4 linked regions of the Notamacropus eugenii genome follow. The protein of the gene in region 3 purifies or fractionates together with the protein of the main gene of each other region. This does not show direct contact. Links are inferred from orthologs where the notes say so. Each region holds a gene or a part of one and is shown on either strand. Other genes may lie near its edges.

Evidence for each region. Proteins that work in one complex are often made in the same cells at the same time.
Region 1: the proteins of DUSP9 (region 3) and MAPK3 purify together in Homo sapiens (affinity purification with mass spectrometry; 4 studies listed by BioGRID and IntAct, with this or other methods). This does not show direct contact. The link is inferred for Notamacropus eugenii from reciprocal best matches to the Homo sapiens genes DUSP9 and MAPK3.
Region 2: the proteins of DUSP9 (region 3) and MAPK14 purify together in Homo sapiens (affinity purification with mass spectrometry; 8 studies listed by BioGRID and IntAct, counting the BioPlex papers as one, with this or other methods). This does not show direct contact. The link is inferred for Notamacropus eugenii from reciprocal best matches to the Homo sapiens genes DUSP9 and MAPK14.
Region 4: the proteins of DUSP9 (region 3) and MAPK11 purify together in Homo sapiens (affinity purification with mass spectrometry; 4 studies listed by BioGRID and IntAct, with this or other methods). This does not show direct contact. The link is inferred for Notamacropus eugenii from reciprocal best matches to the Homo sapiens genes DUSP9 and MAPK11.

The regions. Positions count from the first base shown.
Region 1 is NC_092872.1:46,779,381-46,786,657, forward strand, and holds the start of MAPK3 (mitogen-activated protein kinase 3), read left to right. Parts: upstream 1-4,273; 5' UTR 4,274-4,338; coding exon 4,339-4,511; intron 4,512-5,664; coding exon 5,665-5,847; intron 5,848-6,968; coding exon 6,969-7,158; intron 7,159-7,277.
Region 2 is NC_092873.1:93,170,753-93,177,779, reverse strand, and holds the start of MAPK14 (mitogen-activated protein kinase 14), read right to left. Parts: upstream 3,005-7,027; 5' UTR 2,563-3,004; coding exon 2,447-2,562; intron 1-2,446. UniProt on the Homo sapiens protein: Serine/threonine kinase which acts as an essential component of the MAP kinase signal transduction pathway.
Region 3 is NC_092879.1:22,351,556-22,359,496, reverse strand, and holds the start of DUSP9 (dual specificity protein phosphatase 9), read right to left. Parts: upstream 3,007-7,941; 5' UTR 2,700-3,006; coding exon of another isoform or gene 2,627-2,699; 5' UTR 1,123-2,626; coding exon 741-1,122; intron 1-740. Other genes in the region: uncharacterized protein, read right to left, coding at 2,627-2,699, 4,787-5,321, 5,638-5,829, 6,267-6,408. UniProt on the Homo sapiens protein: Inactivates MAP kinases. Has a specificity for the ERK family.
Region 4 is NC_092874.1:304,210,830-304,218,798, reverse strand, and holds the start of MAPK11 (mitogen-activated protein kinase 11), read right to left. Parts: upstream 3,005-7,969; 5' UTR 2,779-3,004; coding exon 2,663-2,778; intron 1-2,662. UniProt on the Homo sapiens protein: Serine/threonine kinase which acts as an essential component of the MAP kinase signal transduction pathway.

The sequences.
Region 1 (7,277 bases), on a different chromosome or scaffold from region 3:
GAGGTTGAACTTCCTTCACAAACTTCCTAACACTTTTTCTAATCCTTCTCTCCTGATCTCCCGGGAGTAAGTGACCAGCAGCAGTCAGGAGTAATGAGACCTGAGACCAGGTCAGGGGATAATGATTGTCTCACAAAGAAGCAACCAGAAGTCAAAGAGAGAAAACCAGAGCTGAGCTGAGAGTGAAGACCTAGAACTGTGGGCCTAGCATAACTTCTGTGACAGACTAATATACCTCCTGTGATAATGAAGAGACTGAGAGTTAACCAGAAGACTAGTGCTCCTCAGGAGACATATGATCCACGTTACTGTGAAAAGGAGTGGCCATTTGGGGATAAATGCTGAAAGTTTAAAACTTGATTTAATTCTAATATTCTTTCATATTAAATAACTTTGCTTTGAATCTATAGGCATCCCAGTTTAGTTCAGTAAAAGAAACATTGTTAGGGACTCATCAACAGTGAGTTTAAATTGCTAATTAGTCTAACAGTACCAGGAACCTAGAACTAGCTGTAAAAGAAAGGGGTGGGGCTCAGGATGCACTTGATAAACATATTATAAAGAAATTATTACATTCAATTGAGGGGTATAGGGAACACCTCATGAAGGATTTAGATCAACTGGAATTTAAAGGATGGGTAGAATTTCAAAAGACAGAGGTAGCAGGTAGGACTTTCCAAAACTGGGAATTGTATAATCAAAGGCATGGATAAAGGTATGACATGGCTGGTCATGGTGGCACACATCCTTAATTCCTATTACTCAAGTGGCTGATGCTGGTGGATTGACTGAGCTTGGATGTTTTGAATTATATTGCAATAGCTCTAGAGGTGATCAGGTGTCCTCATTGACTTTGGCACTAATATGCAAGAAGGTGTTTCACCACACTGTCTAAGGAGAGGCAAGCTGGCTCAGGCAGAAAATGGAGCAGGTCAAAAGCTGCCATGTCATCAACAGTAGCGTCAGACCTGGGAATGGCCACTTTACTTCTGGATGTGGGTAAGGTGGGGAGATCATTCAAAAAAAGGAAAGTATGAGATGTGTACAGAGGATGGCAAGTAGTCCAATTCAGCTGGAGTACAGAGTACACAGTGGAGAGAATACTCTTATATAAGACCAGAAAGGTGGAAAGACACCAGATTACGGAAGCCCTTGAGTGCCAAATTAAGGAATTTTGACTTATATTTGGCAGGCAAAAGGAACATATGGAAAAATTTGAACAGGAGAGTGACATGATCAGATCTGTATATAATAATTTGGATCCTGTACAGAGGTTTGATGTCTTGGGAGGAGGATAAGATAATCAAAGGAAAGGGCCAAAGATAAGCCTTGGAGAATAATTTTGTTAAAGAGTTGGGAGAAGAAAGACCAACCAGGGAAGGAAATAGAGAAGGAACAGTTAAAAGTAGAACCTAGAGTGCTGTGTCACAGAAGGCAAGGGAATGTCAAGGAAGAGGATTCTCTCTCTGTGTGTAAACAATAAGGCCATTTATTCAGAACATAAATGCATAATAAAGCACATTCCTAGTGAGCGTAGTTTCATTTCCCTTCCCCCCCAGACTAGTTTGAGTTTTGACTGCCATCTGATTGATGATTCTGATGGGGAAAGATTTGTTCCAGGGGGGTTGAGCCTTGCAGGACTCGGGTTTTCAACAGTGTCAAATGCCCCAGAGATCACAGACAAAGAGGAAGAGGCAGAAAGAAGAAAATGGAGTAGTTGTTCCTTTGGCTCTGCACTTGTACAGACTGGAAGGATTCTGTGTATTTCCAGACCTCCTAATCATTTTTACTTTTTAAAATTCTTAGTTTCCTTCAAGGTTCAGGTCTGATGTAGATATTTACAGGACCCTTCCAGATCCAACCCACTTTCCTGAATACTTCCTTGTATTTACATATATTTGTTATATACACCCAGTTAAACCTAAGTTTATTTAGATCAGTAACTGTTCTGTTTTTGTCTTTGCAACCCCAGCACCCAGTACAGTACCTTCATATAGAGTAGATGCTCAATGTTTGTTGAAATTAACTTAATCTCTAAAATTCTTTCCAGCTCCAATTTTATGGCTGATTTAATACGCTGAATCAGTCGCCTCCAACATAGGAGTTAGTTTCAGGAAATATCATTCATAGTCACTAGAAAATGATTTTTACAAACACTGCATGGGGTGAAATAATTGCAGTCTTATATGACAAGCTGTCATAGAACTAACTTCCCTATGTTAGCACTCCACCCATGGCTCACAGCAGATCTCTATCTGGTACTTTATTGAGTCACTGGTCTCTTGTAATTACACGAAGTTAGTTTATAAAAAAAGCCTTATCATATTAGCAAGGGCTAAACCCAGATCCTGCCAGGCCTGTTGCATGTTCCTCGGGGGTTTATTAAATTAGCATATGAGCCACACCACCGTGAATTAGTATATCTGATTCAGAAACAAATTATGAGGGATTCTGGAATCATGAAGCTCCATTTTGCACAGGTCTGCTTTAGCACAAGAGGAAGATTTTGTTCCTGATCTTTCGAGGGGAAAAAAAAATCATACGGAAGCCCTCCAGATATGTTTGTATAACCCTACCCTATTGTACACTGTTGTCTTGTCCTTTCAAGAAATTCAGTGACAGGGAGCAGCAAAGTATAGATAAACCAGAGGAAGACTTCAAGTATATCAAAAAGAGCTTCTAGGAAAGATTAACGGAAAGCTGGGAATAACATCCACATATGCAGAAAAAAAAGATGGGTTGCTTTGTGCACACTCCCCTGGTAATGGAGCTGGGATAATCAGTCATCTCAAGTATCAAAGGAAATCTAAGTGGTAAAGTGGATAAAGCCCTTAGGCCTGGAGTTAGGAAGACGTGAGTTCAATTGCAGCCACAGACACTTGAGCAATAATTAACCCTGTCTGCCTCAGTTTCCTCGTCTGTAAAATGAGCTGGGAAATGGCAAACCACTTCAGCATCTTTGCCAAGACAACTCCAAATGGGGGTCACAAAAAGCCAGACAGGACTGAACAAGACATCAGTGGAAATAATAACTTAATCTGTACTGGGGGAAAGGCAGGCAGGTTGGTGACTAATTTTTTTTTTTGACTAATGAGGTTAACTCATGATTTCTGTCCATTTCCAGGCTGAATAACCATTTAGAACTAGATTTAAAAAAAATTTAGTTTTTGCTGTCCTAAATTATCATCCTCTATGCAGTTTTCTCAGCCCAGTCTGTGCTCAGGGGGTAAATTAAAAGTGATGAAATTTCTAAGAGCATGGAGTCTAACCTTAGACGGGATCACGTCACAGCCCACTCCCCAAAAGCTCCCTGTGGCCTCCAGGGTCAAGCACAAGCCTCCCTGCGTGGAGGTCACCTAGCCCCCTCTGAGCTTTCCAGTGTCCTCACACTTGCCCCCTGCTGTTCTGGGACAAGGTCCTTCCCCTCCAGCTGCAGGCACTTCCTCCGTCTGTCCGTCCCCCCTCTCCCAGCTGGTGCCTTCCCTCCAGAGCGGCATCACTTCCGTGTCCTCGTGGAGCTCCTGGAGGGCAGGCACTGTCCGTTGCCTCTTTATTTCTCCAGCATTTTGCCCGGTGCCTGGCACAGAGTAGGCGCTTACCAGATGTGTACTGACCAATGGCATACCCACTCCTCTTGTATCTATGAAACAAAGCCGTCCTCCCAAGGAGGGGCAGAGGGCCACAGGGTCGGGGTCGGACGCGGGCCTCGGGGCCACGCGGTCTAGGCCGCTGTTTTACAGAAGGGGAACCTGAACCCCAAGCCTGTTGGGGCACCTGCCCAGGCCCTCTGGCCCAGGACGGGAAGCTGACCCCCCTTGGGCTCTTCCCTAACTCTCCAGGTGGAGGCCTAAATGTGGCCGTGGGTGAAGCCCCGGACCTCTGCCCTCTCGGCCCGGCCTTTCCACTCGTGCTCGTGAAGGCGCTTCACCGATGTCCACGCAGTTTTACTGCCCGGAAGGGCCTCGCCGCAAGGCCCTCAACCGGGAAAAGACAACGAAACTGAGGCCCGGAAGACATAGAGCGAGGCAGGCTTGCCCAAGGCCGAGCGGCGAGGGATCGCGCCCCTCCGGCAGGGGGTGGGGTGCCAAGCCCCGGACACTGCTCCCAGGAGGCCCAGGCCTGCGGTGGAGGCCGGGCAGAGGCGTGGAGCCCAGGCCGCGCAGGCGCAAGCGCCGAGCCCGCCAGCCCGAGAGCCAGGAGCTGCGAGCCAGCGGGAGCCGGGGGGCGGGGCCCGGTCGGGGGCGGGGCCTGCGCGGCGGGGTGACGACACGGAGGGCGGGGCCGGCGCGCGCCTAGGCGGGACCCCGGGCGGAGCCGCGGGGAGGGAGGGGAGTGGAGATGGCGGCGGCGGTGGCGGCTGAGGGGGGAGGGGGCGGGGAGCCCCGGGGAGTTGACGGGTCGGGTCCGGGGGTCCCGGGCAAGGTGGAGATGGTGAAGGGCCAGCCGTTTGACGTGGGACCGCGCTACACAGAGTTGCAGTACATCGGGGAGGGGGCGTACGGCATGGTCAGGTACGGGCCGGGGGAGGGGGCTCCGGAGGTGTCCTGAGAGAGGGGAAGGGGCTCCCGGGGTGTTTAAGGAGGGGAGGGGTCTGCGGGGATTTTCTTGGGGAAGGGAGGGGAGCCCAGGGTACGATCTGAGGAAGGGGAGGGGTCTCTGGGGATGTTCTTAGGGAGGGGAGGGGCCTCTGGCGATGTTCTGAAGGAGGGGACGTTCCGAGGTTGAGGAGGGGGCTCCGAGGATGTTCTAAGGGAGGAGGGGGTGTCCAGGGGTGTGAGGAAGGAGGAAAAGGGAAAAGAGGGAGCGATCAGAGGAAGAGAACGGGGCTCCGGAGATGTGCTGAGGGAGGGGGCCCTAGGAAGGGGAGGGGGCCTGGGCAGGTTCCTGGGGGGGAGGGGCATCTGGGTGGGGAGGTGTGAGCTCCCCTCAGACTTGGGGTGTGGGGCTGGGCTGGTGCATGGCTATGCCCCTGTCTCTGCTGCGCCCCTCTAGACATCCCCCTCTGCGGGACAGGCCTCTCCTGGAGACCCAGATCCCCGCTCGTTCCTTATGTATACTTTCTTCAACCACCACCCCTGTGGCCCTTTGGTACCCTCCTTCTGGGCCCCATCTCCTTTCCTCCTAGGATGCCTGGCTTGAGGACTTCCTGACGTATTTTCTCTTTATTTCCTATTTTCTCCTTACCCTCCTCATCCCTCTTTTAGACTTCTGGGTAATAGGAATAGAAAGAGACATACTAGGGGTCCTAACAGCTGGAGTTTAGGTTGAGAGGTGGGGAGGAGGAGGGTCAGTGGTCTCTTCTTCCTGGAGTGAAGTCAGAGCTTGGGTTGGCTGGTCCCCAGCCCACTCCCTGGAGGCTTCAGGCACTAGTGGCAGGAAGGAGCCAGCATTGTTTACTGCCTGGTCAGAGTTCTCCCTTGACCCCCCCCCCCCCCCATCCTCCCTCCACCTCCTCCTCCCCTCCCTCTTCCCATCCCCTACCCCAAGGCCTGGGTGGAGCTCAGTGGCCTAGGCTCTGCAGATGTTCCCTTAATCTCTAGGCTATCCTGCTCCCCCCAAACCAACCCCCCCCCCAATTCTGTCTGCATTTTTTCTCCTTCCCCCTGGGCACAGCTCTCCTCCAGCTGTGATCCAGGATAGATCCTTTGCCCTCTGCCCCAACAGCTCTGCCTTTGACCATGTGCGGAAGGCCCGGGTAGCCATCAAAAAGATCAGCCCGTTTGAGCACCAGACATATTGCCAGCGCACCCTACGAGAGATTCAGATCCTGCTTCGTTGCCATCATGAAAATGTCATTGGCATCCGTGACATCCTTCGAGCACCCACACTGGAGGCCATGAGGGATGTGTATCCTTAACCCCTTTATTCAACTCTGACCCCAGATCAGGCTCTGTAGGGGCTTTTTTTTTCCTTCTCTGTCTTGTGTTCCTTTCTCGACTCCATGCCCCAGTAGAAGAGAGAATGTGGTATAGGGAGAAGCGAAGGGGTTTATGAATTAGTTTTGTTCATATGTTTCAGTCATGTCCAAATCTTCATGACCCCTTTTGGGATTTTCTTGGCAGAGATACTGGAGTGGTTTACCATTTCCTTCTCTAGCTCATTTTTCAGATGAGGAACTGAGGCAAACAGAGTCAAGTGACTTGTCCAGGGTCACACAGCTAGTAAATATCGGGGGCCATATTTGAACTCAGGAAGAGGAGTCTTGGGTCTTCAGACCTAGCACTGTATCTACTGTGCCACTTAGCTACCCCTATAAATTAGTAGATCCTGATTTTAATCCCATCTTGTGCTTCACTTTCTTCTTATAAAATGAGATATTGAACTAGATGATCTCTGAAGTTCCTCCCAGCTCTTAATATTTAGAGATTCTGAGACCTTGGCCAGGTCTCTGCCCATAGTCAGGGTTTAATTAAAATTTTGTAGATAGTGAGTCTCTGCAACAGAGCCTGTGAAGCCCCACATAAATCTTCTATATATCGCCTGTTTTCCTGCCAACCCCTCCTTTTTCTCCTGTCAAACAGATGGGGGCTTATAGCCATCTTCTCTTGAACTTTCCCCCTCAAAGCCCCACCCAGGTACCTCCCCAACAGGAAGATCCTTGGACCTTGTCCAGATTTTGGACTGTATTATCATGCCCTTTTTCCTCTCTGCTGTCTTTTTCAGTTTTCCTCCCTTTATTTTCTTCCAAATGCCCTTTCCTCTTCTCAACTTCAAGTGAAACCCTGTCAGTCCCTTTCCTCCCACCATTCCCCATGTGTATGGATTTATACTGTAAAAAGAACTGTTTGATGGGGTCCGGGCCATTCAAAAATAAAATGGCAGAAAAAGACTAGATGAAGGGGCCCTTTGGTTGGCCTGATGGGGTTACTGACAATAGCATCAGTCTGTTATTCTCCTTAACTCTACTTCCTATCGGTTCCCCCACTTCCTGGTTGGAGTGGGGGGGAACTCCTCCATGTCTCCCTCAGCTACATTGTTCAGGACCTGATGGAAACAGACTTGTATAAGCTGCTCAAGAGCCAGCAGCTGAGTAACGACCATGTCTGCTACTTCCTGTACCAAATCCTTCGGGGCCTCAAATATATCCACTCAGCCAATGTGCTCCATCGGGACCTCAAACCCTCCAACCTGCTCATTAACACCACTTGTGACCTCAAGGTGAGAAGGCAGAGATGGCAGACCATCACGTCTCTTCCTTCTCCCACCTCACCCCACTTTGCCCTGTATGTACGTCCAATCTCTGTGTCAAGAAGTACAGCCTCCAAGCTGCTTATCAC
Region 2 (7,027 bases), on a different chromosome or scaffold from region 3:
AGTCTCAATGCTTTATAGATGTACATGGCTTTTTGACCAAAAAACCAGTATCTTCCAGTTTCATCACCTACATTACTCCACCAGAAACCTACCTACAAAGGAAAAGGTTGTAGCTAGCAGCTTCAAAAGGAAGAAAATATGCTACGACTGAAAATATTCACAAGAATGTATTCTGATGGATAATTCCAAAAGAGCTCCAAATATGTTGCAAGAGTCTTAGGCATACAAACTATGAAGGTTTTGAAGAGCTTGCTCCCAAACTCTTTGCATGTATGTTTTAGTCACTTTACTTTAAAGGCATAGCTCATAAATTAAGCTAATCAGCAAATGTAGTAGATAACACCAAACCAAACAATGTACTCATTGATTTACTATTCTCACACTGTCATAAGAGATATCTCAGTGGACAGTTTACTTCATGCAGAACTGCTAATGTTCAGAAAACAAACAGTACACGCAAGAATAAATCCATTGGGTAGATTCTTTAGTTCAATTCAACTAGTTCATCTAGCATAAAATCACTCAACTAATAAATAATTCTAGTTGGAAACAAAAATCGAATTCATTAAGATTGATTTACTTAAGATGGACCAAATGATCTGGTAAAGAAATAGTCACACATAAAACTGAAAATGTGCAAATATAGATGAGTTTTCAGAAAAGAAATTATTTCAATCGAGTTGCTTTATAATGAAAATTTTCATTTGGAAAGAATGGGAAAAAAAGATGCAGAGTACTGTACAATCTGCTACACATATTAAACAGTGAGCTTAAAAATGCAATATGATCTGTTACTGGATGCAATTGCACAATCTCAGTTTCAGAGCAAATTCTACCAAACAGGAAATTCATGATGTGACTCTAAGGAGCACAGGAATCATGTTGAAGGAGTGTGCCAAAGAGGAATATTTCCTAAAAACAGAAATTATTTGGCAAGTATGAAATTGTTACAAACAATTTTCAAATTATATATGCACACAACACTAAAGAAAAAAAACCCTGTAACCATCACCTATTTATTTCCAGGCCAATATTTATGACAAATCTAAAGTACACAATTCATCATATGGCTTTCATTGGCTAAATACGTGTTTAAACTAAAATAAATTTGAAGAAGAGAAAGGTCTGCCTTGTGAAACGATGAGATATGAAGTGAACTGTTCAAACTGAGACAGAATGAACATTTGTTAGTGACACTGCAGAAGTTTTGCTTTTGCTGGAAGGCTACATTAGACAATTTCAAAAGTCCCTTCCAATTCTAAGAATCTAACTTAAAAAATTTAATTACGCTACATAAAGAATTATTATGGTAACATACTTTCTACACATTTACAATTCATCATAGCCAGTGACCTCTTTCAAGTTCTCCATTTTCTTGTTTTCCTGAGGCAAACATTCTACACCTGTTTTCTCAGCAATAAATGTAGAAAGTTCTTGTGTACACTAGCAAATGCACCATGGTATGAAACTTTTACAATACTTTTGGTAAAGTGAATTGAATATTATCCCAATCGTGCAAAAATATAATTTCTGTCACTGTGAACAACCACTTTTCATCTTAGGGATGTCACACCAGGCCCATTTTCCCAGAGTCAAATGAAAATGTTCTGTCAAGAACTTTACAATACTTGAATAAAAAAATGCTCTAATGCTTGCAATCATTCCATGGAACTCTAAAATGACAACAGCCTTGTAGGTGCCTTCTTTTCATTTAAAAAAAAAAAATTAGCTTCCAACCAGCTGAGGTTGCAATGCACATTAAAAATTGGCAGGCTTGCAGAAATGTAAGAAATTTCAAGCTCAAAAGGTTGAGAATGATGAAATCTCATCAAATATGCCCGTTTCTGAAAACTGGATTCATATTTAATCAACAGATGTTTGCAAAAAAAAAAAAAGTAAGAAAAAACATTTCCCCCCCATCAGGCACAAAACCCAGTGGGGTTTGCTGCCCAAGAACGACGTCTTACTAGTTCTCCCATTCTTAGGCTGCTTCCCCATGTTTGGCCTGTCTGCAGCCCGTGCCAGATCTGACACACGGCGGGGGCGGGTGGGGAACCGTCGCGAACGCCCGCCGAAGCTGGCAAAGATCAATAAAGGGCCAAGCTTGCCTTCCGCTGGTAGAACTTCCTCAATAAGTTGACCTCCCATTCCCATCTTCCCTGCAGCCCTACGGGGTGCGGGGCGGGGGGGTCTGAAGAAAGAGAGTCCCCTTGAGCAGGCAACCCGGGCCGTCCGGTATCCGACTAATGCAAACGGCTCTACGTAGGTGCAAACGAGTTGTCATAAGCTGGCTCCGCCGTGCAAGAGGGGGCACGAGGGTGTGCAGGAGGGAGCAGTGCCCTCTCCGAGGTGGGGGGGAATTCCTGCCGCTTGGCGCATCCCTGAGCTCCTGGGAAGCAAGCTGGAGACTCCGGCCCCGTCCCACCCTCCAGCTCGGGATACTCACCACACCGACCCGTAGGCGCCGGAGCCTACTGGGGACAGGTTCTGGTAGCGCTCGGGCACCTCCCAGATGGTCTTGTTCAGCTCCTGCCGGTAGAACTTAGGCCTCTCCTGAGACATCTTCCACCGACGGCTGCAGCGCAGGGGAGGTGGCCCAGCGGGAGCCAGCCAGCGCCTCCGCCCGCCCGCCCGTCGGGGCCGGGCCCCCCCCGCAGCTCCCCCGGCGCTCCGCAGGTGCTGCCGCAGCGACGGCCCCGCCGACCCCCGAAGCCGCTGTCAGCCGGGGGCGCGCGGCGACTCTGCCCACCCCCGGGGGACCCTGGCCACCGGCAAGGGGGGCTTCCCACACTCAGGACCCGGGACTGCGCCCGCCTTCCTGCTGCTTCCCCCCGGTACCCGAGGGCTGGGCCGGGAGGGGGTCCGAAGCGGGGGTAGCGAAAGGGCCGGTTTCTCCGCCCGGAGGTGGCTGCTGCAGCAGCGGCGGTGCAGCTCAGGCTCCGACGGCAGCTCCCGCGCCAGCTGCGGCTCCGGCGCCTGCGAATCTGCGAGCTCCTCCCCTCCCCCCACCCCACCTCCCCGCAGACGGGAACTCCTGGACGAGATCTCGCGAGAGCCTCGCGCGGGGTGGGTCCGGGGAGGTCCTCCGCGAGCCCAGATTTTACCCAATATGGAACCTGCTCGCGCGGGGGACAGGGGGAAGGCAAGGGATTATGGAGGGGGAGGGGGAGGAGGAGGAGGAGCGGAGGAGGAGGCGTGTTCTCGCGAGACGTAGCTCGCGGACGCCTCTGCGTGTCTTCCCCAGGTCGGAGATTTGTTTCTCGGCCAGGCGGGAATGAGAGCTGACCGGAAGCTGTCGGTGGTCCCGTGGGAGAGACAGGGACACGGGGGTCTTGCCGGTGCGCATTTATTGATGGGCGTCAAACCCCGCTGGCCTGCCCGTGTAGGGCCGGAGAGGGAGGAACGCGCGGCCCCTTGGCCCGGCCTCTGCCCAGGCAAACCGCTGGCCTCGGCTCGGAGAGGCCCGTGCAGTCCCTGCAGGGCCTTACAGCCGAGCTGGACCCTTCTCGATGGAGGGGAGCCTCGTGTCCGCTTGGCAGATTCACCACCAGCCTCAATGCCACAGTCATGTACTAAATCTCTCGAGGCGCTGGCAGAGATGCCAGGACACAGACTGTGCCTCAGGACACTGTGAGCCCAGAGACGTCTCCTGACCCCTGAGCCTCAGTTTTCTGGTCTGTAAAACGGAGATAACGAGAGCGCCTACTCACGGGGCTGACGTAGGGATCAAAGTCAATTCAATAAACGTCTTAAATGAGAGTGCCCACCATGTGCCAGGCGCCGTGCCCATCGCTCGGGCTACAAAAAGGCAAAAGACAGATGTTGCCCTCGAGGCTCTTTCAACCTGATGGAATTAATGAGTTAACGCGTGAAGTGCTGTGCTCGTACGTCTAAAATGATACTTAGGATCCTCCCAAGCCTTCTGGAAGCTGACAGCCTATGTGGGTTGGCTGACATGAATAAATAGAAATACCTTTAATGCAAAGTTATACGTGATAAAGAGGAAAGAACCTCTAGAGAAATTTATGTAAAGAAGTGGACAGGAAGGACCCATAGAGAGAAAGCATGGATGGATTGCCATCTTCATCCTTGGAGAAAGTACTGAAGTCGAGGGAAAGAGCTCCAAGAATAGCCCTGTCAGGTACCACGAGGGTCTTTCAGGCCTGGGGGTGGTCAGGGAGGGCTTTCTGGAGGAGGTGGCATTTCAGTTGGATTTTGAATGTGGGAGATGGGTAGCCATGGTGGTTCAGTACTCTGGGAACGTCTTGAAAAAAACAAAACACTAGCGATTGGAAAGAAAAAAAGATTGCAAAAAATCCTGTTTCCCATCATAAAATATTTTCACCTGATTTGAAGCACCATCAGAATTACTAGTCTAGAACTCTAATAGTGAAGACCTTTCAAAGCTTCAAAATTTGACCATACTTGAGATTTCTTCTGTGTAGGTATTACTTCCAACATTTGAATGGTAATTATTCCTCTGCACAGGATCCACCAAACATTTTGGGCTCCTTCCTCTATATCTCTTGATGGTATATGGGTACCAGTGGAACACTTGGGTCATCCATTATTATCTTTCATTGTCTTTATGTAACCTACCTACCTCCTCTTCCAATTGGACCTCTTTAATTTTTTTCAAACTTTTTAGTTTTTGCATCACTTACTTTTCCCAGTATGGCCACACTTTTAAAAAAAAAGGGAAAAAAATTCAGCAGAACTAAACAGCACATCCAGAGAGTTTCACATTATCTGTAGTGTTGCCCACCCATGGTCCTCACCTCTCCATTTTAATATATCTTTTTGGTGACTTGGATTAGTTATTATACTTTCTCAGCATTCAGTTTTAATTGGTTTTTTTCATTAAACTGTTTTGTACATTGTTTTCCTGCTTCTATTTACTTTACTTTGCATCAATTATGTATTTTTATGTAATTCTCTCTAGTCATTATATTGTTTCTTATCAGTCAGTAAACATTTATTAAGCTCCTGCTATGTGCCAGGTACTGTGCTAAGTATTGGGGTTATGAAAAGAGGTAAAAACGGTCCCTGCCCTCACAGAGTTTACAATCTAATGAGGGAGACAAAAAGCAAACAAATAGAAACAACATATATATGGGATAAATACGACCCATATAGGGAAGGCACTAGCAATGATATAGGTTTGAGAAAGTGTGGGAAAAGATGAAACTTCAGTAGAGATTTGAAGGAAACCAGGAAAGCCAGTAGGAGATGATGAGGGAGAGTGGCATTTCATTATGCACCATAATATACCACAGTTTGTTTAGTCACTCTCTGGTTACTGGGTATATACTGTTTCCAGTTCTTTGCTATCACAAAGTTCTGTAGCAAATATTTTGGTATGTGTGAAGTCTTTCTTTTTTGTCATTGACCAACTTGAGGTTAAAATGCCTACTAGTGGAATCACACTAGAACAAAGGATATAGGAGTTTAGTCACATTCCACAAATAATTCCAAATTGCTTTCCATAAAATAGTGAGACCAAGTTACAGCTCTACCAACAATGCATTAGTGTGCCTGTCTTTCTTTCCACAATCCGTTTGACATTGACTATTCCCATCTTTTGTACCTTTGCCAATTTGCTGGTTATAAAGTGAAACGAGTTCTTTTGATTTGCTGTTCTCTTATTTTTAGTTAATGGTATCACTTTATATGGTTTTTACTAGTTTGCAATTCTTTTGAGAATTACTTATTATCTTTTGACCACTTATCTATTAGAAAATTACTTTTGTTCTTGTATATTTTTCTTGGCTGACTATATATTTTGGATGTTAGACCATTATCAGAAATGTTTGATATAAAGATTTTCTCTTTGGTTGACAACTTCTCTTTTCTTAATGGCATTAATTTTGTTTGTGCAAAGTTCACCTAATTAAAAATATCCATTTTATTTTTTATACTTACCACTATCCTTTGTCTGACTATTCATCTCCTTGCCTCAAACTCTCTTAACCTTCCTATTTAATTCTTTTATTTCATTGTCCATTTGCAGTGTATGTTAGAGCCAATATGTATGCCCTGATGGACCTACACTATGGGCTCTTTACTCTAATAGCTTATTGTATCATAGTCTGGACAGTAAGCATCTTTACATACTTTATTTTTCCATATGGATAATTAGGTTAAAGTCTTTTAAGTGATTATGGATCTCATTTTAGAATTTTCACCCTGTCATCTGTAAATAAGGGTATTTGGATGACTTCACCATCTACAGGAGATTGATCCCTCTTTCATTTAGACTCTGTACTAGAGATCTCCATGATAGTGGCAAGCACTTTTTAAAAAGCCTAGTTCTGTTTTAGGTCTCACTTTAATAACAAGAGGGTAGACCTAGCTATCTCAATTGTACCGTTCAAGGAATGTATGAGTTAACATATGCAGGGGAGGCACCTTGTTGGAAGACAGGCTTTGAGGTAGCATCTTGCTCTACCAAATCAAATGTTGAGTTTTTTTTTCTTTGTAGTTAACAAACAATAGTGGTGACTCCCAGTCATCAAAGGAAAAAGCAATTTTTTGTAAAAGTCTTGGCAAATCTCTTCTTTCATTTTACATTTACATTTCATCTGTAAATGTTCATGAGAGGATATTGATGTGGTTTGGGTTGCTGGAAACCCTGAAATATCAGGGTACAGGACAGTGTCTGGAATGAATTCAAGCACTCAAGCCTTCTTCCAGACAAATGAGGAGAGATTCTTAGGGAATCTTCAAATTGAAGAGGGTGAGACATGCTTATATACAAAAAGGATCTGAATGGGATTAAGGAGTGCTACATAGTCTGGGGTAGGCCTGGTGAAACAGTGAAAGGAATGTCAAGTAAGCTAATTAGGTCATCTAGGTGGGTGGCTTGGGTGGAGGCACTAGTGATCTAGGCTGCTGAAATGTATGGGAAAATTCAGGGACTGGGTTTCAAAGGCATGATCTTTTCCTTTTAGGGACCCAGGTCCCATCACCCCATCAATATGATTGGGTAATTAGGTCTCTCACCAAGCTTTTTGTAAACTTGTACTGC
Region 3 (7,941 bases):
CTATGATCAGATTGGCAGGCCAGATATTCCCCCCCCCCCAGATATACCATATGGGGGAAAATCAGAATATCTGATCGGTGGGAACACCTTACTCCTTCCTCCCCACCGTAGATGGACAGGAATACACAGTGCATGAAAATCCAGATCTCCAGATCAAAAAATTAGAGAGTGATGACTCGATTTATACAAGGATTCTTTACTTTCCAGAAAGGCCTATACAGGATTCCTTTGAGTTGCCAGCTACCCCCTTGCATTTAAACTATAATTTGATTTTTTAAAAATCTGATTTAAGCGGAGGACAGCTGATTTCAATTTCTTATGGAAAACCTCCCCCTAGGCCATAGCTGGGAGGGGCAAGTCTGGGCAGAGCAGGCCCAAGCAGGGTAAAGCCCTGAAAAAAACATAATTAGGGAGATAAGATCTGGCAAGCTGGATGGGGTAGAAAGAGCCTTGGCCTAGGAGCCCAAGAAAGGTTTGCCTGTGAGTTTGCTCTGTGACCCTGTAAGGGAGGCAGGGTAGGGGGGCTATTCTCTTTTCTTCCAAGAGAGGAAACCGAGGCTCGCTTACACTCAGTCAATGAGGGATGTAGCTGGGGGTCAAAGCTTTACCTCGACACTCCCTCACAGGCCAGTGCTCCTTCCACCAAAACCTCCTGCTCCTCAAGGCCTCACTGTCCCTACTCCCACCTCCAGGGGCTGCTCAGTCTCTCAAGAGCTGCTCGCCCCAGTCCAGGCACCTACCTTGTAGGTAGTAGGCAGGGTGGCCTTCCTCTTGCAGCTTCTGGAGCAAGGTGGCTAGCACTGACTGGGCTGCCTCGGCTTCCTCCTCCTCAACACATTGGCCTTCATCATACAGGAGGATGGGCAGAGGGGGCAGCGGCTGCTGCTGTGGCTGCCACTGCTGCTGCCGCTGCTGCAGTGGGCTGGGGAGCAGGGAGCACACAGACAAATTGCCCTTCCTCAGCCTCCGAAGCAGCAGGGCCGGGAGGGCTACACTAAGAGCCCCCTGGACGTGGCCTGACTCATAGAGTTCCCTGCTCCGGCAGTCCAGAAGGAGCAGCTGAGGCTGGGGGGCAGCTAGTTCTCTGCTCAGCCACAGGGATGATCTTCCAAGGCCCTCCATGAGGAAAGATGACTACTGAGCTCCCCCTGATCTTTTCAGAGGGGCCAAGGATGGATATGTACATGACCCAGGGGCCAGGGCCAGTTCTTTCTCTTTCTCCTCAGGCTTTCTCTCTCTGTCTCTCTCTCCTCTCTCTGTTTCTCTGTCTCTGTCTCTGTGTCTCTCAAGCAAGGAAGAGGAGATGGGAAGGATGAGGGCTAAGGATCATCTCTACTTCTCTCAGTCCACTCTCAGAACAGCCCAAGGAGTCAGTCAGATAGTAAGGCTAGGCTGAAGGTGTATGTGTAGGTTTGTGCATGGGAATGGGGCAGAGGAAGTGGAAAGAGATAGTGATGGGATTGAAGACAACTTTTTTTGTTATTTTAAAAAGAGACAGAGACAAAAAGCCAAAATGAAGAAAACCACACTGTCTAGAACACAGCTGCCAATGGATCTCGTGGGCAAATGAAAACCTCCTCTCTCAGGAAGCCGTGAGGGATTTCCTTCCTGGCTCACCTGGCTATGTCCGTATCTTCCTTCTCCACTGAGCAGCTTTAGGAATGAACTTGGAGGTCCCAGGAATATTTAAAAAGCACCACTCCCTCCAAGCTCCAATCACAACCTTCACCTCCTAGGTTTTTAATCTCCCACCTTCACTTGAGGTACTCACAGGAGCCTGGTTCTTCCTGCTCCAACAATTGGGGGGAAAAGGTTGTCACCTTGAATCGCTATTTCGATTCTGTAGTACTATGACGTTGGTGGCAGTTTACTGGGACCTCTTCCCTGAGGGCCTGGGTGAGGGTACTATCCAAGAACCTTCTTTCCAGTCCCTTTCCTGACTCAAAGTTCTCTGTAAGGCAAAGACTCAATGGGGGGGGGGGCAGGGAGGAAGGCTAATTCTCCAGGTCAAGAGGGAGGGTCCAGCAGCCCCTGATCCCACCAGATCAGGGAAGAGGGAAGGAGACCATCTTCTCTTAGGGAGAGGGTTTGTGACCCTTTGACTACAGGGTCTTCAATAAATTCAGTTGGACAATTCAGTGTTTTCAGGGGGCTGAGGTCTCTTCAGATGTTTGGTCAAGTTGTCTTCTAGAGCTGAGGAGAAGAGTAAAACTCAGAAGAAACTGAGTCCAAGGCCAATCAGAGCCTTATGCAAGGGGAAGAGGTCCTGAGAATCTGAAGGGCTGTTCTGGATCTCTGGGAGTTGAGGAGGGGGAATTGTTCTTCCAGATGTGCTACAGCTGGAATTGAGGGGAGGGAGAGACACAAAACACGCAGAGGAAGGAGGATGTGAGGTGGTGAAGGGGCAGGATTTCCTTCTTCCCCCTAGCCTATGTGCTGGGGTATTGTTTTCGAGGTGATTGGGGAAGCCAGGGGGCCCAGACGGCTGCCTGGGTATCCAAAACCGCTGGCAAATCAAGGGCAGAATCTGAAAGAAGAGGCGGCCAGTGGCTGGGCTCTCAGAACTCAGCTAGGCCTTCGGTGGGCTGCATGGTTCCTCTCGGAGAGACCACCCGATGAAGATCTGTTAGTCGCCCCAAACGCAGCGACTGGGGTGGAAGGTGGAGGGCAGTGGTCCTGACACGACCTGGTGCTGAGACCTGTAGAGTTGGAGAAAAGAAGTCAGGAGCTGAGGTCAGCTCCCCAATGAGAAAAGCAGTAGGTGAGCCTGGGGGCAGAGCCTGAGTCTCCGGAATTTCCCAGTTGGCTGGGAAAGGGGGATGGGGAGGATGAAAAGAGGAAGGAGCATTGGCCTATGTATTTATGCATGTGTAAGTTGGTATGTATTTGCATGTGTCTCTGAATGCGGGGATATAGGTGTATGTACACATATGTACACGGGCAGATGCATGTCTGTATGTACCTCGGAGTGTGGGCATGTATATGTTGGTGTGTGCATTAGTGTGTATTTGTCTTGGGATACCTACTTCTGTGTCTTTATGTATATGTGTGTGTGTGTGTGTGTGTATGTAAGTGTGTGTAGGAGTGTGTGTATGAATGTGTGTGTGTGTGTGTGTGTGTGTATGAATGTGTGTGTGTATGGGCCTCCGTTTCCTGGCACCCTGCCATCCAACTTCCATCCTGGAAACTATTTCCTTTGGACACTGGGGTAATTTTCAGGGGGTGGGTGGGGGGATGGGTAAGGACAGAGGAAGGGAGTCAACCTGTAGAAAGGGGTGTTGAACTGGAGGGTGAGGAAGGAAGAGCTGAACAGCCAAAGGCTGAGGTTTCCATGAAGGCAGGGGCTGGGAAGACTGGGCTGGGCACACTGGCACCCCCTCACCCCGCAGCATGAAAGTCCCCTCATCTCATTCACCTGATAATGGATGACTGGTTTGTCCTGTGTATATGTGTGAGACAGACATACATACACAGAGTCAGAAAGGAGAGAGACAGAGACTAAGAGACAGAGAGACAGAGACCAAGAGACAGAGAGAAGCCCTGAGGCATGTTTAACCCTCTTCCCTCGATGCTATTCTCCCCTTAGGCACTTCCCCAGACACCCCTCATGCCTTGTTCCCCAGTCTGGCTTCCCTCTCCTAAGCCATGACTATGGAAGCAATCGAATGCCAAGGTGCTTTGGAGTCTGGTGCATTGGACCAACTGGGTATGGGGAGCCCAAGGGCCTTTCTTGCCTGCGTGCACCTCACTCCCTACCTTACAGATACAGATACAGAATGTTGAACGTGGGAGAACCCCCCCCCCATTTTATAGATGGGGAAACTGAGACCCAGAGAGGGGAAGGGACTTACACAAGGGCCTTCAGCAAGTTTGTGGAGATATGGCACCAGAACAGAGACTGCAAGACCTAGAAGGGGCCTTAGAGACCACTCAATCCACTCTCCTCGTTTTTTTCAGAGGAGGAAAGCAGATGTCCAGAGATGGGAAAGGCCCGCTGCTTCTCTAACCCCTAACAATGGATGTGTCTGAGGAGGGTACCTTATGGGTGTTGGGGGGGTCGCGCTGGGGAGAATACAGATGTGTTAATATTGGAGGGGAGTGTGTCGGGGTGTAAGTGCTGAAAGGCTATTGGGAAGATTGTGAGGGTGAATGTGTGTATTGTGGGGGAGAGGGGGGGTAGAAGGCTGTGTTCTGGTGGTGTTCTGCATTAGAAGGATTGTGGGTATGAGCAGAGGGCTACAGAGTGGCGTGTATGTGGGTTTGAGCGTCGGGTACCTGGGTACGAGTGTGTGTATGTGTACGTTTGTTGGCGGTGTGGATGTTGGGGTGGGATGTGCTGGAAGATTCAGGGGGTGTTGGGTTTGTGTCTGAGTGTGACAGTTGGGCCGGGGGGTGTGTTTAGGGGTGTGTGCTGAAGGTGTGCGTTGGTGTGTGTGTGTATGTGGTGCATGCATGTGTGTGATGTCGGGGTGTGCAGAGTGTGTACGTTGGGGGGGTGTTGGGATATGTCGGGGTGTGGGTGTTGGGGATGAGGCTCCCGCGAGTGGCGGTTATGCAAGCAGCTCCCCATGCCTCCCGCAGCCCCGCCGCCGCCGCCTTCCAGCCCCGCCCGCTCTCCTCTGGGCTCCCTGCGCCCCCAGCCCTGGGGTGTGCGGGGGTGGGGTGGGAGGGACGTCCGGCTGGCCAGCAGTGCCCCCAGTCCCACGGCCCGGGTCCTGGGCGCCTCTGCGGAGAGGCACCAGGGGAGGGGGAGGGGGAGGGAGGGGCCGGACCGGCGCGCGCTCACCTTAGTGTATTAGTGCAGAGCCGCGCTCCGCCGCAGCCGGGGGGAAGTTTCCGAAGCCGGGGGGTGGGGGTGGGGGCGGCGCGGTGGTGCCGCGCTCCGTCGCCGCTAGCACCGGGGCCACCACTGCGGGCAGGAGCGGGGCTCCGGAGCTCGGGGCAGCGAACGGCCTCGCGCACAGTCGAGAGGGAGCAGGAGGGGGCAAGTGGGCGAGTAGCCCGCTGCCTCCGCCGCCGCCGCCTCCCCCGGCTCCGGCTCCGGCTCGGGCTCGGGCTCGGGCTCGGGCTCGGGCTCGGGCTCGGGCTCGGGCTCCGGCTCCGGCTCCGGCTCGGGCTCCTCCTCCGTACCTCTGGGAGCAGCGACCCGCACCGCCGCCACGGGCACACGGGCACACGGCACACGGCACACGGGCACACGGGCGGCGAGCCTCCGCTCCGGCTCTCGCGCTCCTCCCGGCTCTCGGCTCTGGCGCTCACCCGAACCGTCTCGCGTTCCTCTCGCTGTCTAGCTCTGTTCTGTCCCTCTCTTTCCCCTTCGTCTCTCTCCCCCCCCCCCCTCCCGTCTCCCCCTCTGTCTCCCTTTGCGTCTTCCCCAGTCTCTATCTCCTTTCTCACTCTCTCTTTCTCTTTCTTTCTGTTTTGTCTCTCTCTTCCATCTCTGACTTCCTCTCTCTGCCGGTGTGCCCTTCTCCCTATCTCTCCCTCTCCCCTCTGTCTCTGTGTCCCCTCTCTCTCTTTGCTCTCTCCCTCTCTCCCCGTTTCGCTCTCTCTCTCCGCTCTCTCTCTCTCCCTCCCTCTCCCCTCTCTCCCTCCTCTCTCTCTCAAAGCTCCTCTCTATCCCCCCCCTCCCGCCACTTGCCACTGCCACCGCCCCCTCTCTAGAGGAGGGTGGGGTGGGGGGGACCTGAGCGAACAGTTTGAATCCTGTGGAGGCTTTTAGCTCCACGTGGGCACTCCATCCAGCACCCGAGCCATGCCTCAGAGACCTTCTGAGCCTCTGGGCCCGGCTGAGGGGCAGCTTGGTCCCATACCCCAGTGACCCCAGGGCTAAAGGGTGTGAGCGTGTGGGGTGGGGGGACAGGCACACGCTGCTTTCGAGTCCCCCCGTGTGATCACTGAATGGTGATCCCTGAATGTTGAGAATGCGCCATCCCCATCTCCTCCTCCCTCCCTTCCTAGGGATGGAGGGGATATGAAGCCGGGAGACTTGCTTGACTTTAGGGCTCAGTCTGAGGCCAGGGTTCGGGTTTTGTCCGAGGCTGTATTCGGCCTCGCTCTGGGACCAGTAAACAGACTGGCCCCCACAGGGCTCAGAAGTGACCTTGGTCTCATTCCTTACAAGGAAGCCATGTAGTCACGGCCCCTCATCCTAATGCCTTCCATGTGTACAGCCCACTCAGGGCTAGACTGGGAACCCAGAGCAGGGCGTCCAGGCAGCCGAGATAATACACAACTAATGCCCTGTCAGTCCTTGACCCCTGCACCCTGCCTCGGGGAGCTCCTAGCCTGGGCTTCAGGAGGCAGAGGAGGCAGCACGAGCCTCATCCCGAGGCTAACCTGGGCCCGGTCTTTAGAGGCCAGACGGAGAAGGGAGACCTCGAGCTTGGGGAAGCCCCACGGACCCATTGATCTACAGCTGGAAAAGAGCTGCAAGGTTAGTCTAGTAATCCAGCTCCCTCCCGTAACCGGTGAGGAACCCGGAGTGTCCCCCATTAAGTGATGTGTCCAAGATTGCCACAGCTAGCAGTGGGCTGAGCCAGCATTGGGACCTGGGTCCCCTCCCTCCCAGCCCGGCATGTTTTCTGTTCCAGCAGACTGCCTAGATGAGAAGATGCTTTCGCAGTTCAGCATCAAAGCTGACCCCAGATCTGGGGCCTCGCTGTTGCTAGGACAGGATGAGTGAGGGAAGGGGAGAAGGTGACCAGCAGCAGGCTTTTTTCTGTGACTAATCCCCCTGAGTCATCAGCGCTCAGACATGCACAAGTGCGGAGAAGCAATTTCCCAGCTACTGTCCCAGGTCCCAAGGGCCTCCTCTGTCATTTGCTACTAGGGCTGGGCTTTCATATACACGGAGCCCCCTCCACACTAGGATTTAGAGGGGGAGGGGGGAGGGGGAGGAGAACCCTGCCTGTCATCAACGTGTTGGACAATATACCAGATTGAGAGTTAGGAAAACTGTTTCTAGTCTGGAACTGCTGTTAATTCAATGTGTGGCTTTTGATAAGGAAGTCGGAGACTCAGTTTCTCCATCTATAAAATGGGTTTATATGTTATTTGAACCCAGAAAACACTGACAGCTTGTCTACCCTTTCTGGGGTCTGCTCAGAACGTGCGGCCACCCGCGCCCCCCCCCCCCCCCCCCCCCCCAGTTCTGGACGTTGTTCATCCCTTTGGTAATTCTGTGCTCTCTCTTGCCTGTTCCTTCTAAGCCTTCTTATGCTTCTGAGCCCACCTCCTCTCTGAGTGTCCCCTGCTTGTCCCAGTGCCAAGGTCACTGTCCCCTCTCTCTCCCAGTTCAGGCCTCACTGTCTGCACCCATAGTACATTCTGCCCAGCACTAACTCTTTTAAAACTGGTTGTGTTCTGGGGTTTTTTTGAACCTTGTCTCTCTGGCCAAACTGGGTACATTCTGAAGACTTCTTTTTACACTGCCTCTGAGGCTACGGCCAGATCCTCAATGCAGATGACTCGGGTGGAATGGAATTGCCCGGCATAGCATTGGCAGAGATGGGACTTGGTGGAAGAGTTAGGTGCCCAGTTCCCCCTCCCCCATCTCCCCATCTCCAGCCAGCAATGAAGTTCCCTGGCTAGTGGCTGGTGACTCAGGGCTGATCCAAGAGGGGAGGAGAAGAGTATGTGTATGTGTGTGTGGTGTGTGTGGTGGGGGGGGGGAAGAAAGGTAAACTTCCCAGAGCCATTTTCATTAAATAATGCAAGCCCTTCCCCACCCCACTGTGCCAATCCACCTTCTATCTCTTCAGTCTCCCTGGTAACACTAGGGACCACTGTCACAGAAAACACACACTTGCTTGAGTGCACACACGCGAGCGTGTACACACACACACACACACACACACACACACACACACACACACACACACACACACACACACCCAAACCGCCATGAAGGCGTCCAGTCCAAACGCACCGTGGGATCCT
Region 4 (7,969 bases), on a different chromosome or scaffold from region 3:
GAATCTTATCAGGGACCTGAGTTTGAATTCCAGCTCTGCTACTGCTTACATGTCTAACCTCAAGCAAGTCATTTGTCCTCTTGGAGCCTCAGTTCCTTCATCTGTAAAAGGAGGGGACTGGAATAGATGGTTACTAGAAGGTCCATTCCTGGTATGATATCCTCTTCATATCTTTTTTTTTTTTTAAACAGAAATTACCATCTAGTACATAGTGATCTTTTGGATCACAGCACAAGACTTTACATTTTTCCCATTCAGTTCCCTCTTGTTAGTTTCAGTCCAGCACTAGCCTGTCACCATCATTTTAGATTCTCGTAGCGGCTGTACTGTGAGCCTCAGCTCACTGCCTGGATAAGTATATCTTTTAGGTCTTCACCAAATCATTAGTGAAAATGTCCAACAGCAAAGGACTATTGAATATTCTGAAGGCTGGGCCGTAGGCAGAGCCTTGGGGTACTCTGCTAAACACCTCCTTGGGTCATCATTAATTACTGTCCTTGGGGATTTGGGATCTCTGGGCCTGAATTCCTCCACTGAGATCCTGGGAGAACCTGGCAAGTCCTGTGCTGAAATACAGGAATCCACTTTCTAGGCCATTGCCCTGATCTGTGGAGTCCAACAGGCCAGGCAGGGCCAGAAATGAGATCTGTCTCGCCCAACACGCTTAATGAGCATCTCTTGCCTTTGAAATGTCCCTTACAACTGGCAATGGCTGCCACGTTCACCTGCTACAGCAGCACTTGAATTATGTGACTTCCCTCCTCTGGAAACTTTAATAGCTCCACAGGAGCCATGGAGAAAAAATTCTGACATTTCAGCCTGACATTCAAGGCCTTCCACGGCACCAACCTCTGCCTCTAGCTTGTAACTCACGATCCCCTCTCAGACTCCAGATGTTCTAGCTTTCAAAGCAAACTACCCAGCCCAGTTTCTTTCTCCACACCTTTGCACACACTGTACCTTCTGCCGGTACACCCCTCCACAAACTCTGTATCTCTTTCTACTGGTATCACATCCATACTTCCAAGCCCATGGAGGCTTCCCTTCTCTGGTAATCCTCCTGCCCTAGGCTTAGACTATCTTCTCCAAACCCTGCATCCCCAGAACCAGTCTGTCCTTTCTTATGGGACAGCCATTCCCTACCTGGGCAGGGAGTCCTTTGGGTCCCTGACTTCAGAAACATCCAGGTATAGCATGCCTGGATCCCTGGCTGGAAAGTCAGGGGGCCAGGGATCTAGCTTTGCCACTGACTCCCCGTGTGAGCTTGGACATCTCCCTTGCACACTCTTAGCTTCAGTTTTCTCTCTGTTTAGCCTAGACCTCTGAGGACCCTTGGGCTAGGCCACATCTGCCCTGCTGGAAGGTAAGCTCCTTGGGGGCAGGGCAAGAGCCTCTCTCAGAAGTGGCCTGTGCATAGTAGGTGCTCAGCAATCTTCCATAGAAGTTTGGCAAGAGACCTCGACAGAGGATGCCTGCCTCCTCTCAGGAGCTGTGGGAGTGCCCAGAGACCTCTCTTTCTTCCCAGCAGTCCCTTCCTCTTGCTCCACTCTGCTTGGCTACAGCTGTTACCACAGTGAGTCTGCAAAGCCTGAGCTTGGCCAGAGCCAAGGTAGGGCCCTGTGGGCCCCCTGCAGCCCGGTTCTGCCTGAGCTCAGCTGCCCACCCATCACCAGGAGCTCCTCCTCCTCAGCTTCTAGCCCTCAGTTCTCCCATGGCCAAGCCATGCCCAGCCTCATACTCCCTGCTCCCCGAACAGGGCTCTGGGCTCATTTGGCCCTCAACCTGGATTATCCCTTGTCCCCATTCTGAGTGAAGGTTGTCTTCCAGAAGAGGGACTTCTACAGAGCTATATCTGTCTCCAGAAGGGGGAGCCTCTAGGGCTGTGTCTGCCCTGGAAAGCAGAACTCCTCTAGGGGCTGCCTTTCAGAAGAGGGAGCCCCCAGGGCCCAGGGTTCCCCCACCTCTGACCCGGGGGTCCCCAACAAAAGGCCTTGCCCCTCAGCCCTATTGGCTACTCCCAGAATCCCTAACGGTCACAAGGGAACTGGAGTCAGTGTGTGTGGCTGATTAGCGGTGGAGACGAGCCAGGAGCTGAGGGGTCAGAGTTCAAACCTATGTAGCCTTTATCCACCCCCCACCCCCATTATCTAGGGCTCCCCACAGGCCCCAGGAAGTCAGTATGAGCTGGGACAAACAGACATCAGGCTGACTGACAGGGGGAGCCTGAACCCATGGTCACACAGTAAGTACCCCAGCAGTCTCCTCCCACCCCCCCACCCCCAAGACAAGGGGCTTTTGAATTAGCTACTGCCCTCGGCCCCGGACCACAGTCCTCCCTCCCCACCCCAACTCTGGCTTCTGAAAGGGCTGGGGGTAGGCTGGGAAGGGGGGTGCTACCAGCCCAAAATTCAGGGGCGCTCCTGCCAGCCAGTTCGGGGGCCGGGGGTATCCGGGGCTTCTCCGACTGCGCTGGCAGGGCGGGGGAAGGGAACTTCCATTCATCCCCTTTTTCCTTCGTTCGTTCATTCATTCATTTAATCCGGGAAGGGCAGGGCGGGGCTGGGGGGGGGGTTTCTCCAGCCACCACCCCGGCTCCTCCCCGGGCCCCTCTCCCCTCGTGCCCTCCCCCTCCAGCCCCCAGCCCCCGCAGCCCGCCCGGTACCAGACGGAGCCGTAGGCCCCCGAGCCCACTGGGCTCAGGCTCTGGAAGCGCTCGGGGACCTCCCACAGGGTCTTGTTCAGCTCCTGTCGGTAGAAGCCGCCGCGAGGAGCCGACATGGCTCGGGCCTGGGGGGCCGAGCTGGCCTCTGTCGGGCCCCGCTCTGGCCCCGGCCCCGGCCCCGGCTCGGGCTGCGATCCCTCCAGCAGCCTGGATGCCCGGCTCTGCCCACCCGGCGGGTCCGGCTGGCAGAGCTCAGAAGCTGCCCGGGGGTCCCAGGGGCAGGGCGGGGCGGGGCATGGGGAGAGGGAAGGGGCTCCGGTCTCCGCGACCCCGCCCTCAATGTCTGGGGGCGGAGCCACTGCCGCGTTTGAGAGAATCCCCAGAAAGTGACCCCGCCCCACCGAGGTCCAGGACACGCCCACAGCCCCCTTTCCCCCTCCCCCCGCCTCCCGGCCCCTCCCAACCCTCCACCCCCTCCTCTCAGTCCCCTTCCCCGGACCCTCCCTTCCCGCTGCCGCCACCCTACATCATCCTTCACCCTGAGTTCTCATCCCCTTTCTCCTGCACCCTGGCCACGCGCCCCTGAGCCGATTCCCGGGCTGTCTCCACCCAGCCATGAAGTTGCGTCCCTCCCAAGTCGCTCAGGAACCTCCCGTGGCTCCCTTGTGCATGAGGAACAAACTCCAAATGTCTCAGCCTGACGTGTGGTTCTAGCCGAACTGGGCCACTTGGCGCATCCCGGAGCCTGCGCGATTCCATCTCTTGCTCTCCCGAGCCTGGAGCTTTGGATGTCCTTCCTTCTGCTCTCGGGACCCTTCCTTTCTTCCCGGCTCTATCCAGCACCCGTTGGGTGGCCTTGGTTCACCCTCGGGGTCACACTTCGCTGGTTACATCTCAGCCCTGGTTGGATCGAGGTTCCTTGAGGGCAGAGCCACATTCCCAGGGCCTGGCACCGGGGCCTGCAAATCAACTGTACAAACCTTTATTAAATGCCCACTATGTGCCAGGCACACGAAGAAAGGGGCAAACAATTCTTGCCCCAAGCACTTAGAATTCTAATGCAAAAACAACATCCAAGTGCATTTAGGGTTAGGATTACATTAAAAGGAGCTTAGTAAATGCTTAAATTGAGTTTTAAGGACTGGTATAGAGGAGAGTACTGGACTGTGAGTCAGAATGCCTGGTTTTAAATCTGGGGTCCACCACTGAATAATCTGTGAGACCTTGAGTAAGTCTCCATGTCTTCTTGAGACTCAGTTTCCTACTCTGTAAAATGGGGAGTTTGGATCCTTGGACCATGAAGGTGCCTTCCAGCTCTAAACCTTTGGTTCTGTGTGCACTTAGTCATTCATTCATCCAATAAACATTTATTAAGTATTAAGTAAATATCTGAGGCAGGATTTGAATTCAGGTCTTCCTGACTCTTGGCCCACTGCTCTCTTTACTGAACCACTCTCCTACCTCTGAGTTATCTAGACAGAAATACCCCTTTTAACAATATGAGAATTCATCAGTCTGAGACACAGTTGTGGGAGTAGAGTCACTGAAATCACTTGAAGAGGGAAACAAACTTGAGGAAGGGACTCGGCCACAAAGAAGAGTGGCAGCTATGGAATGAAGAGAGAATCATCACTGTCAATTGAGAGCAACGTGGAGAGGAACAGAACCTCAGGACCCAGGGGAGCAAGCCACCCAACAGAGATGCTCCAGTCAAGGGGAAGCTGTGTGAGATTCCCAGGAAGAGAGAAAAGACTTCCAAGCCCCACATTACCAGGAGTTATAAGAAACCTTGGCTTTTATACGCATCTTATATGTGTGTGCCCAGCTACTGTTGTGCCCTAATTTTATGCCTGCTCGTTTGTGGGAGAGGACATTTTAAGTTTATCTTGGGGAATGTTTGGTAGCTATTAATCCTGGCACATAGTAGGCACTGAATAAATGCCTGTCTACAACCTGACTCTCCTTACTATGCCATCTTAGTAAATACCTTTGCTAAGAATCAGTTGTACCCACATCACACCTATAAGATTGGCAAACATGACAGAACAAGAAAATGATAAATGCTGGAGAGGATGTGGGAGAGTTGGAACACTAATTCATTGTTGGTGGAGCTGCGAGCGCATCCAACCATTCTGGAGAGCAATTTGGAACTATGCCCAAAGGGCTACAAAAATGTGCATACCCTTTGACCCAGCAATATCGCTACTAGGACTATATCCCCAAGAGATCATAAAAATGGGAAAGGGTCCCACATGTACAAAAATATTTATAGCAGCACTCTATGTAGTTGCCAAAAACTGGAAGTCAAGGGGATGTCCATCAATTGGGGAATGGCTGAATAAATTATGGTATATGAATGTAATGGAGTACTATTGTGCCATAAGAAATGATGAACAAGAAGACTTCAGAGAGGCCTGGAAGGACTTATATGACCTGATGCTGAGTGAAAGGAGCAGAACCAGGAGAACTTTATGCACAGCAACAACCACAGTGTGTGAGAATTTTTTCTGGTAGACTTAGATTTGTGTAATAACACAAGAACCTCTTACAAAAAAAAAAAAATCCCAATGGTGGATCTCAAGGCAAAATGCCTTCCACACTCAGAGAGAGAAATATGGAAGTCACTCACATAATGTAGCAGATCATGTTTGTGTATGTATATGTGTTTGTGTATCATGTTCTGATTTGTTATACGATTTCTTTCATTTATCTTAGTCTGACTACATAGCATGACTATGGTGAAAATATTCTCAATAGGAAAGTATATGTAGAATCTATACAGAATTGTATGCAGTCGTGGGGAGGGAGGGGGGTAGTGGGGGGTATGTGGGGGGGCATAAAATCGCAATTGTATGGCAGTGATTGTTAAACATTAAAAAATAAAAATAAAAAAAAAAGCCATATTAAAGGGAAAAAAAAAGAATCAGTTGTACCTACTGGCTGACTGTTAATGGAAAGCACATTATATGGGTACCCAGGAAAAGAACATTTGTACAAAAATATTTATAGCAGCTCTTTTTTGAAACCAGAAACAAAGGGGATATGTTCATTAATTGGGAAATGCTAAGCAAATTAAAACATGTAAGTGTAATAGAATACTTTTGTGCCATAAGAAACGATCAAGATGGATTCAGAGAAACCTGGGAAGACTTATATGAACTGGTGCAGATTGAAGTGAGCAGGACCAGGAGAACGATCTATGCTATAACAACTCAGTAACAACTCTGATTAAAACAATGACTTGGGTCAGTTTGGCTGGCACAGTTAATAGGTCAAGGGCCCCAAAGTCAGGAGGACCTGAGTTCAAATCTAACCTCAGACACTTACTAGCTATATGACTCTGGGCAAGTCACTTAACCCCAATTGCCAAAAAAAAAAAAAAAAGGATAATGATGAAGCATGATTTCGGAAAGTCCCTGAGCCAGTGGATTTAGGGTGCAGATTGGGATTTTAGGGGACCTGGTCAGTTTGGGAATTTGTTTTGCTTAACTATGCATACTTGTTAGGAGGGTTTTGTTTTTCTTTTCTTTTTCAATGAAAGGGGGAAGAAATAAAAATAATTTTTGTTAGTTAAAAAAACAACTTTAATTTTAAAAAAGGAATGCATACCCAAAGGTAGTCCCTTTGAACCTTGAGAGTTTCCTTTCTGGGAATTGCCTCAAGCCAGGTACTACAATTAAATGAGAAGTACATTGAGAGAGGCCCATAATAAAAGGCCCAAGGAGAGGGGACTTATTGGAATTGAGGAGGAAGGGCAGGTTAGCTGTCCAGTGGAAGCCAAAGTTTTAGGTTTAAGTCTCTTCCCCCCTCTAGCCTTAGTTTACCTGGTGTAAAATGGAGCAATGATCTAAATAACCTCTCCTGTTCCTTCCATCTTTGATGGCCCATGAGTCTTTAAACCAGTATTAGGCAGACTCTGGATAGGGGTGTGTGTGTGTGTGTGTGTGTGTGTGTGTGTGTGTGTGTGTGTGTGTGTGTGTGTGTGTGTGTGTGTGTGTGTGTGTCTGTGTGTGTGTGTGTGTGTGTCTGTGTGTGTGTGTGTGTCTGTGTGTGTCTGTGTGTGTCTGTGTGTGTGTGTGTATGTTTGTATACAGGACTTGAATATTCTAGAAGCCGTGGAGGGACTGGGGGACTAAGGCTGAGGCCCACCCCACTGCCCATCAGCCCTGTTTTTGCCTGAGGAAGAGGGGGAGGAGGCTTGAGCTGGCAGGCCTCCTCCATCCTGGGTGCCCCTTCTCTCTCCTTCATTAGTTCCCTCCTCCAGCCTTTTCACTTGACCACATTTGAATCTCAAAGGTGAGGTCAGAGCCTTCTGGGGTCCTTTTTTTCCTGGAGACAAAGAAGCTTTCCCTCTCCCTCCCCCACCTTCCTTTCTGTATCCCAGAGCACATGTAGAAATCTACTTTCCCCTCACCGCCTACCCCCACTCCACTCATCTTGGACCTTTGTGTGGGTCCATGGAACTGGGATGTGGGCAGCCCCTTCCAGTGTACAACCCTCCCCCAGCTTCTAGAACTTCTCCCAGCCACTTCGAATTCAGAGAAAGGGGAAGAAAGCCCTAGCAGGTTGGGGGTGGGGTTCAGTGGGAGCACTGATGGGTAGACCCATGGGATGAGAAGAAGTTACATGGGCCTAGATGGATGGAATCGCCAAACCATGGGCTGATGGATTTAGCCAAATATTTTTTAAAAAGTGATCTCGGAAAGTAGCCAGTTCAACCTCTCCACCCCACCCCCACTCACTCTAGGAATCTCCCCTGAAGCCTTTCAGACTGGGACTCCTCTGACCTCACTGAAAACTTTTGAGGACAGGGAGCTCACTACCTGATATGGCTGGTTGTCTCACTGTTGGACACTTCTAAAAGCTCAGGCAGTCTTCCAGTATAAGGTGAAATCTGCCTTCTTATAATTACCCCCCAGTCTCCTAGAGAGCTAAAGAGAGACTGATATTAAAATTCTGCCTCTTAGTAGCTATGAAGACAAGTCTCTCCACCTCGATTTGCCTCAGTTTTCTCATTTGAAAAATGGGGGCAAGTACATTTGTTGTACCTACCTCCGGACAATTTCCTGTAGATGACAGAGGATGATTGTTCTCTGCAAACTTTTAAGTCCTAAATGAACCCAAAATATGCCGTGTGTCCTCTCTTATCTATGTCAAGGGAGTGTCTCATTTCTAGACCACACTCCCTACCATGGAGAGCTCCTTGAGAGCAGGACCTGGGGCTGCTCCTCTTCAGTCCTCCCAGATTAGAAACTGCTGATTCTCCAGCCTTGTTTTAGCAGCAGGATCCCCTACTCCACCACTGCC